2 linked regions of the Sus scrofa genome follow. The protein of the gene in region 1 interacts with the protein of each later gene in a pairwise test. Links are inferred from orthologs where the notes say so. Each region holds a gene or a part of one and is shown on either strand. Other genes may lie near its edges. The genes, in order: ARL15 and UNC119.

Region 1 (4,601 bases):
CACAACGCTGACTATGTGCCAGGCACTGTTCTAAATGCATAACAGTAACTATTAATCCTAATAGCCCAGTGATGTATGCGTTTGTTTCCTTATCTATCAAATGGGGTAAATAAGTTACAGAGAAGTTACGTAACACGCCTGAGGTCACAGAACTGGAAAGAGGTAAAGCTAAGATTCAAACCCGGGCAGCTGGCTATAGCACGTATACTGTTAACAACTATACACAAAACAGCATGATAAATACCAGCATATAAATATGCATAAGTGCTTCAGCCACAGAGAGGAGGGCACTATCTTCAAATTAAGGGTAGTTAAGAAGTGTTTCGACATAATACCCTCTGTGATTTTGAATGTTATCATGTTGAATTGATACATCAACTTGAGAATTACACCTCTAAAACAGTCTTTCCATCCATGAACATCACATGTATTCAAGTTTTAGATTTCTCTCACAATCCTATGGTCGTAAGGATTATGTTTAGGTGCCTTTAGAATTTCTACTTTAAAGGTTATTTTAAAATACATCTCCTGGAGAAAAAGGAACCCTATTGCACTGTTGGTGGGATTGTAAATTGGTGCAACCACTGTGGAAAACAGTGTGGAGATTCCTCAGAAAACTAAACGTAGAACTACCATTTGATCCAGCAATCCCACTCCTGGGCATCTATGCAGAGAAAACCATGACTCGAAAAGACACACATACTCCAGTGTTCATTGCAGCACTCTTTTCAATAGCCAAGACATGGGAACAACCTAAATGTCCATCGACAGAGGAGTGGATCAAGAAGATGTGGCACATATACACAATGGAATATTACTCAGCCATTAAAAGGAACGAGATACTGGCATTTTTTAGCAACATGGATGGACCTAGAAATTATCATGCTAAGTGAGGTGAGCCATACCATGAGACACCAACATCAAATGTTTTCACTGACATGTGAAATCTGAAAAAAGGACAGACTGAACTTCTTTATAGAACAGATGCTGACTCACAGATTTTGAAAAACTTATGGTCTCCAGAGGAGACAGTTTGGGGGGTTTAGGGATGTGGTTGGGTTGTGGGATGGAAATCCTGTGAAACTGGATTGTGATGATCATTGTTAAAAAAATTAAAGATAAAAAAATGAAAAATAAATAAATAAATAAATAAAAGTGTTCTTTCCAAAAATAAAAAAATTAAAAAAATAAAATACATCTCCTAACTTTGTTGCTAAGTAACTAGAAACCCAATTTTATATTGATTTTTAAGGAGTAACACGATTTTTTCATTTTAATAACTGATATGTAGATTTGTGTTTTACACACACGACCACAATCTGCAGATGAGCTGTTTGCTTCTTTCCATTTTTATTGTTTATATTTTTGTCTGATAATGCTGTCCAGGGCCTTTGCTATAACAGCACAGAAGCAGTGATAATTGGCACCCTTATCTTTTTCCTGACTTTAAAGCAAAGGCTTTTAAATGTTGTATCATTGAATACACTTGTGTAAGGTTTTTGTAACTATCCCTCACAATCTGAATATATTGCCAACCTGGAATGTTGTTAAGGGCTGAATTGCCTACTCCCACCCCCAAATACACAGGTTCAAGTGCTAACCCCCGTACCTCAGATAGTGATTGGGTAGGCAGATAGGGCTGTTGAGGAGGTAATTAAGTAAAAATGAGGAGGTCATGGTGGACCCTAAGCCAATTTGACTGGAGCCTTTATAAGGGGAGGAGCTTTAGGCCGCAAAGAGCAGCCCACGTTAGGGGGGTACGCATCGGTGGAGGTGAGGACTCGGAGAAGGCGTGTGTCTGCCGGCTGGGGAGAGAGGCCTCAGAAGAGACCAACTCTGGAATAGCTGTAAGATTGGAACTTTTTGTTCTGGATTGTTTATTAGAACTTGATTGTACACTGTGGCGTGGCGCTTCTGTAGGAAGGTTTTAAAATTGCTATTTCTTTAATGGTAATGTGTCTTTTTCACTTAAAGTTGTGCACATTTGTGGTGTTTTGGGTCTGAAAATTGGGTTATAGAAGCTTTGCTAGAATTACTTGATAATTTCTTCCCACCAGCATTACTGTTTTTCTTTCTTTGTTTTGAAACATCTAAGTGGGTTTTATGTCTCCAGGTTGATATGCTAATTTCCTTTACCCAACTGCTTTTCATTTACCTTTTTGGTGATTTCCTTAGCTTTCTTCTACTCCTACTGAATTTACTCTTTGCTTTTAGGTTCTACCTGGTATCTGTGAGGTCAAACCCTTTCCAGTTTAATCTCAGAAGGAAACTTTCATGCTGGTCTTTGTTCAGGGCACTGGTGGGATGGTGACCTGGCTTTGCAGAGTGGGGCAGATCAATGGGCTCAAGTGAGTCTTTAAGACTCACAGCTGGAGTTCTCTTGTGGCACAGTGGATTAAGGATATGGTGGTGTTACTGCTGTGGCTTGAGACGCTGCTGCAGTGTGGGTTCAAAATGCCACAAGAGTGGCCAAAAATAAAAATTAAAAACAACAACAGCAAAAAATAAGACTCACGCCAGTTTGGTATTTTCAGCCTCAGGTGCTTCTTTTCCCTGAGCTGCTGGGAGCCCTGTAGCGGGAATCGGCTTGCTTCTCTCTGGCTTTCTCCACTCAAGAATTGAGGAGTCAACCTTTTCTCTGTTCTGTCTTGTTAACTGCCACCTCTGTAGCCACTATCTTACAAAATGGTTCATCTCTCATAAGCTCATGTCTCTAATTCTATCTTTGTGGATCTCATTCTTTTACTGCCAAATGGAGGTGAGGGAGTTGTCTTAATACTTCTACAGCAGTCAAAGGGGTGAAGAGTTACTCTGTAAATAGGGAAGGAAATTCTTTATCTTATTAATATGTGGTACTGGGAACTTTATTTCATCTGACTTTTGCTGTGAGATTTCAGGATGTTGATTGTGGGGTCAGGTGGATTTGTTAACTTTTCTCTTCACTCTCAGAGCTGCCCATCTCAGAAGGTACTAAGTATGTTCAAGCAGTGACACAATGACACAACAGGGTTGGTTGTAGTAAATGGCAAAGTCCACATGCTTAGCAACCCACCAGTCTTGAATGGTGTAAGGGCTATATGTAAGGTACCAAGCTAGGCTACCGAAAGAAGTTCACATACCACAAGCAGCTGACAAGGAGAAGCAAAATTCAAGAAAGGACTCATGCAGTTGCCTGGCGTGTAATGAGCTGATAGTTTGCAGCTGTCAGCTCTTTCAGGCTCTGCTTCAACCTTGGGGTTGGTACTTTTCTTGGGATTCTTCCTTCTTGAAGTTGCCCCCTCAACCAATGACGAAACAAGTTGCTGGTACAAAGGTCTAGCTGTTTCTGCCCAGCTTGGTCGTCTCTATTGGGCAATTTTTGCTTGGGAGTTCCCAGTAGAGGCTTTGTTAGGTGTGTATAATGTTCTGTGGTTACTTGCTACCCCCATCTTAATCCCACAGCTATTTTCTTTCACAGGTGCTGTATGTTAATAAACCTTCTGTATTTCTAATTCTTTGTCAGTGTTTGCTTCCCTGAAGGCCCAACTTGTACCAACATGAAACACAGTATCTATAAAGTCTTTGAGGAAGAGAAGATGTTCAGAAAAATAAAACAATAAAAACAATTTAAACAGTAAAAAAGTGTCTATCATTTACAAGAATGATCTGAATTGTCAACTTTGAGACTGTAAAAGATATGATTTGGCTTTTGGGGTCATAGGTGTTATGAAGGCAGGCATGTCAGTTTGTTTACAGAAGGTTTTTAAGTTGTAATTTTTAAAAGAAATGACTAGGTCTTCTTGGGTTATGGGAAGGAAATCCTGTAAAATTGGATTATTATCATTATATAATTACAAATGTGATAAAGTCATTTGAGTAATAAAAAATGACTAGGTCTTTTTAACATTATTAAAGTTCCTAGGGAATTAATATATTACATTTCATTATCTTGAACTATGTTTTAATATGTTCTTGATTAGGGTATACTAAGGACATATTACAATCTGTTTCTTGAAAACAGACTTCTAATCCAATGGCAATTGGTTTTTAAGGTTTGGTTAATTTCCAGTCAGAATTGATCTTTTAATATGAGTTTAAGTGGCTGATCTCAGTCTTGAAAGCATCTTTATTTTTCAAAAAGCATTTTTTCACATGTTGAAATAACTATCAAGAAATAAGGTGGTTGTGTGTGTGTGTGGTTTTCTGTTTGTTTGTTTTCAGGGCTGCACCTGTAGCATATGGAGGTTCCCAGGCTAGGGGTCCAGTCGGAGCTACGGCCACCGGCCTACACCACAGCAACACAGGATCTGAGCCGTGTCTTCGACCTACACCACAGCTCAAGGCAATGTCAGATCCTTAACCCACTGAGGAGGCCAGGGATCGAACCTGCAGCAACCTCATAGTTCGTAGTTGGATTTGTTTCTGCTGTGCCACAACGGGAACTCCACAATGAGCATATGTTATAGTTGATGATAAATAGCTGATTTTTCTGGTTTACCGTCCTTATTTCCTTATAATATGGCTATCAAGTAGGGCTTAGGATCTTCGTTATTCAAAGACTTTCAAAGAAGGTAGCATGCTATTCTTTCATGCAAGATAAAGTAGTGCAGATGTTTCATTTC
Region 2 (4,360 bases), on another chromosome or scaffold:
ACCTGTTGGGTGCAGCCTATTGCTGTGTGTGGCAGAGGTTGCCTTTATCTTTACCTAGAGGCAGTATGGTGCGGTGGGGAAAATTCCGGACTTGGGATCAAACACATCTGAATTCAAACCCTTGCTTCTGCCCTTATCATCTGGGGAGCTTTGAGTAGGCCACTTAATCCTCCCTGAGCCTCAGTTTTTCATTTAAAAATAGCACTGATACCTCCCTTACAAGGTGGTTGTGAGTATTAAATGGATGAGCATGTGAAAGTGTCTGGCATATTCTAGGCTCTCAATAAACGTTGGTTGAATGTGAATTGGAATTATATGAAGTATGAGTGTAACTTTCATTCATTTGTGTTTTAAGTAATGATTTCCTGATGCCTGTCCTCCTGGGCTCACTGGTCCACTTTGCTTCTACTGGCTATGTGCCCTTCCTGCCTCCCTATCTTGGAGGGCCCTGTGGTGGCTAGAATCTTGTAGGCTATTGTCCCTCAGTGTGTCCTGGCTTGTCTAGCAGGGGGTTTGGGAGAGAATAGCTTTTACTGGTGTAAGCCCTCAGATACTAACTAATTCATAAATTCAAAAATAAAATAAAATTGACCCTTTAAGAATGCAGGGGTTGGGACACCCACCTTCCGGTGCATTCAGAATCAGAGTATAATTTATCATTGGCCCTGGGTATTAGCAGTTTCGCATCTGCAGTTTCACCCAACCTTCCATTGTGTAGTATTTTTTATTGGAAAAAAGTGCACATATAAGTGGCCCTACACACTTCAAACTCATGTCGTTCAAGGGCCAGCTGTATTGAGCACAGGCTGCAGTGGGCATTATGCAAGGTGCTGAGTGGTATTTTAGAGAACGGATAGGACCTCTGCTTTTAAGTAATTGGTCTTTAAGGGGGAAAGAGTGAACAAACGAAACTAATTTCAGATAATGCTTTAGAAAGAAAAAATAGGCTGATCAGATAGTGACTGGGGGTTGGTATTGGTACTTGAGATTGTGAGTCTGAGAGGGCCTCTGAGCAGAGGTATTTGAGCTGAGACTAGAAGGACAAGAGGAGGCCTTCTGGGGGAAGAGCATCCCAGGCAAAGACCCTGAGGCGGGAACTCTTTTGAGGGGCGGAGAGAAGGGCGGAGCGGCTGGAGTACAGCGAGTAAGGAGAAGGTAGCCTTAAAATTCCTACAGATAAAAGTGGGAACAAAAATGAGAGAACCTGGGAGCGAGCCTCAACCCTGCCCGCGTGAGTAGCTCAGGTGGGCGGGCGGTGGGCGGGGCCAGTTCTGGGCCCACCCCGGGGGCGGGGCGGTACCTGGGGCCCCGGCGGGGGCGGGGCTGCGGACGCTCCCCCTTTGCTCCAGCCGGCGCAGGCAGCCGCGGCGGCAGCAGGCGAGCCGCGGCCCCGCGAGGCCATGAAGGTGAAGAAGGGCGGCGGCGGGGCCGGGACGGCGGCGGAGCCCGCTTCAGGGGCCTCGGGCCCAAGCGTGGAGCCCAAGCTGGAGCCGCAGGCGGAATCCGGGTCCGGGTCCGAGTCGGAGCCGGAGGCAGGCTCGGGGCCCAGGCCGGGGCCGCTGCAGAGGAAGCAGCCGATCGGGCCGGAGGACGTGCTGGGGCTGCAGCGGATCACGGGCGGTGAGCACCAAGCGAGGGAACGCCGCCGGCAGGCGGGAGCTAGAGAGGGCCCTCGAGGCGCGCGGAGCCCGGGCCCCCGCCCCCTTTCCCTCCCTCCCCTGCCTCCCCTCCCCCACCCGGGTCTCCCTGGCCGGTGTCCCCTATCCTTCTGCCTCTGGGCCTGAGATCTCCATGTACCTCCTTCCTTTGATATCTCTCTGTGCCCCCTTCTTTCTGTAGAGATTTCTTTCCACCCGACTCTTTCCTTTTTGAAGAGTCTATCCCCCTTTTCCAAGGGTGGAGGTGGGCAGCAGCTGCTACTGTGACCCCTTCCCCACAGTCCTCAGAACCCTGTGAAGATTTTCTCTGCAATAACGAGGAGGGGGGCTAAGGGCAGTCTGTCCTCAGTCTCCACCCTGGAGGCTTGGTGGAGGCAGAGTTACTTGGGTGGTATCAAAACCCTCCTGTCTCCCTGATCGTTAATGCCCTCACCCTGGACACCCCAGGAAGTCTGAAGCCATCCTCCTACCCCGGAAAGAACCTGAAGAGGAAACTTCAGTGGGTTGGCTCTGGGCTCTCTCAAGGGAGTGGGTTAATGAATGCCCCCCCCCCCCCCCGCGCCACCCCACGCAGCCTGGACTAGGGCCTGACCTCTTCTGGGAGGCCAAGTCTCCACTGTGGCTGAGTTTCTGAGCTCGACCTGCCTAAGCTGAACTTCCAGCTTTGTCGTGTAATTGGCTGTATGATCTTGGGCTCATAACTTCACCTCTCTGCACATATTCACCTGTAAAATGGGGATAATAACTCCTACCTTACAGAGCTATTGTGAAAATAAATCCTCTGATTTTGCACCGTGCCTGGCGTTGTGCATGCCCTGTAAATAGGGCTCTTTTATCAATAGTACTGAGGGCCCCACAGGACTGCTCATAGCTGCTGCTGAGAGGCAGACAACTGGGCATTCAGGGCAGGGGAGGGGGTCACCAGAGGCAGGCAACAAGGACCAGGAAGTCTCATGGCAGAGGCAGTGGTTGAGCGTCAAAGAACACAGCATTTGGAGAGGCAGTGGCTTTCTACCTCGACCTCATTGATCAGTAACCCTACCCTGGCTCCCTCTGTGACAGTAGCTCTTGGGGCCTCTCGGTGGGGGTGGGGGGCAAATGCTGGAGTGGACCTTAGCTCTGGAGCTGCAGGAACGGCAGAGCCCGGGGCTTCCAGTCAGAGCTGTGAAGGGGACCTGACAGCAGGTCTAGGCTTGTGCATCTGGGTCCCTGGGGGACCAGCCTCTTCCTCCTCGCTAAGCCAGGCAGCCATTCTTGGCTGGGCCCCCAGAGCCGCTGAGCTGCCTTGCCTGAGCCGGCGCTGGTAGAGGGAAGGTACCTGGACTAGTCTGATGTTGGTGCCAGTTGGACTGTCATTGGCAACAGCAGCATTTAGGGTTCAGGTTAGTCTGGGGCAGAACTTCTTTTTTTTTTTTTTTTTTTTTTTTTTGCTTTTCATGGCCACATCCACAGCATATGGAAGTTCCCAGGCTAGGGGTCGAATCGGAGCTGGAGCCACAGCAATGCAGGATCCGAGCCGTGTCTTCGACCTACGCACCACAGCTCATGGCCATGCTGGATCCTTAACCCACGGAGCGAGGCCAGGGATCGAGCCCGCATCCTCATGGATATTAGTCAGATTCATCTCCAATATGCCACAATGGGAACTCCTGGGGCAGAAGTTCTTTACTGAGGGTCTAACTTGTCCAGGTCCTAGGTAACTTTAGAGGTTATTTTGCAGCTATGGGGGCTTCCAGCCCATGTACATTTGTCTCGGAATCGGGAAGAAATTCATAGCTCTTTGAGATGTGACACCTGTGGGGGATGAGTAGAGGAGAGGGTTTCACAGGAGCCCTTTCCTTTGCAGAAGTTGAGAACAGGGCTCCAGGACTCTCCCCCCACGGCCTCTTCTGACCCTAATCACACAGGTCTGAGGTTTGCTCTGCCCGGATTACCCAGCGCTGAATCCAGCTTAGGAAGCTATTTGTGGCCGAGAGGAAGGGAGCAGTTGTGTTCTGAACCCTTGGCTACGCTGCCCCTTATCTGGGCTGACCCCGGGTCCCTGGCCTTATCCTTCTCTGGTAGAGGGAGGGAGTGGATGTGGTGTCCTGAACCATGGGCATCCTTGTTTCTCACTTCCTCTAAGGACAGAGGGGTTGAAAGGTTGAGTTTGCAGCAGGAGAGACTGAGGCCAGACTGCAAGGCGTTCTCAAATGAGAGGAGAGGTCCCAGAAGTTAGAAAACGGGGGACGAAGGAGGGCTTCATGGGGAGCTGGGACTTGGGCCACTAGGATGCCGTTCCCACTTTTGTCATATCCTCTTCCTATGCCCTACAGCTTCCTTCTGCAGCTCTGGATTAATGCTTACTTTCTGTGAAAATAAAGTGTGTACAGGGTGAGGTAGGTAGGAGCTGCCTACTTCCATTCTGCCCCCTATCCTCTCCCCACCATGGGCTGTGGTGGACAAGCTGTTGCTCAGGCCCCTCCATAAGCCTTCTAGTCTTTGCTGGACCCCATCGTGCCAGGTGGCTACCTGGAGGGCTTCCTGGAGGGGGCTGTCGCAGGCTTGGGGAAGAGAGAATAATTTTACATTCACTTCCTCTTCCTGCCCCAGAGGAATGGGAGGTGGCCCAGGGGCCTAGAGGGTGATTTCCGGGCCTCTATGGGGAGGATGTGATGCTGGGCAGGGTGACAGCATCAGAGCCCCTGCTGCACCTCTCTGCT

Evidence for each region.
Region 2: the proteins of ARL15 (region 1) and UNC119 interact in binary tests that used the Homo sapiens proteins (3 or more experiments, as listed by UniProt). The link is inferred for Sus scrofa from reciprocal best matches to the Homo sapiens genes ARL15 and UNC119.

The regions. Positions count from the first base shown.
Region 1 is NC_010458.4:33,572,597-33,577,197, reverse strand, and holds the start of ARL15 (ADP-ribosylation factor-like protein 15), read left to right. Parts: upstream 1-1,649; 5' UTR 1,650-1,664; coding exon 1,665-1,847; intron 1,848-4,601.
Region 2 is NC_010454.4:44,804,282-44,808,641, reverse strand, and holds the start of UNC119 (protein unc-119 homolog A), read left to right. Parts: upstream 1-1,307; 5' UTR 1,308-1,400; coding exon 1,401-1,620; intron 1,621-4,360. UniProt on the Homo sapiens protein: Involved in synaptic functions in photoreceptor cells, the signal transduction in immune cells as a Src family kinase activator, endosome recycling, the uptake of bacteria and endocytosis, protein trafficking in sensory neurons and as lipid-binding chaperone with specificity for a diverse subset of myristoylated proteins.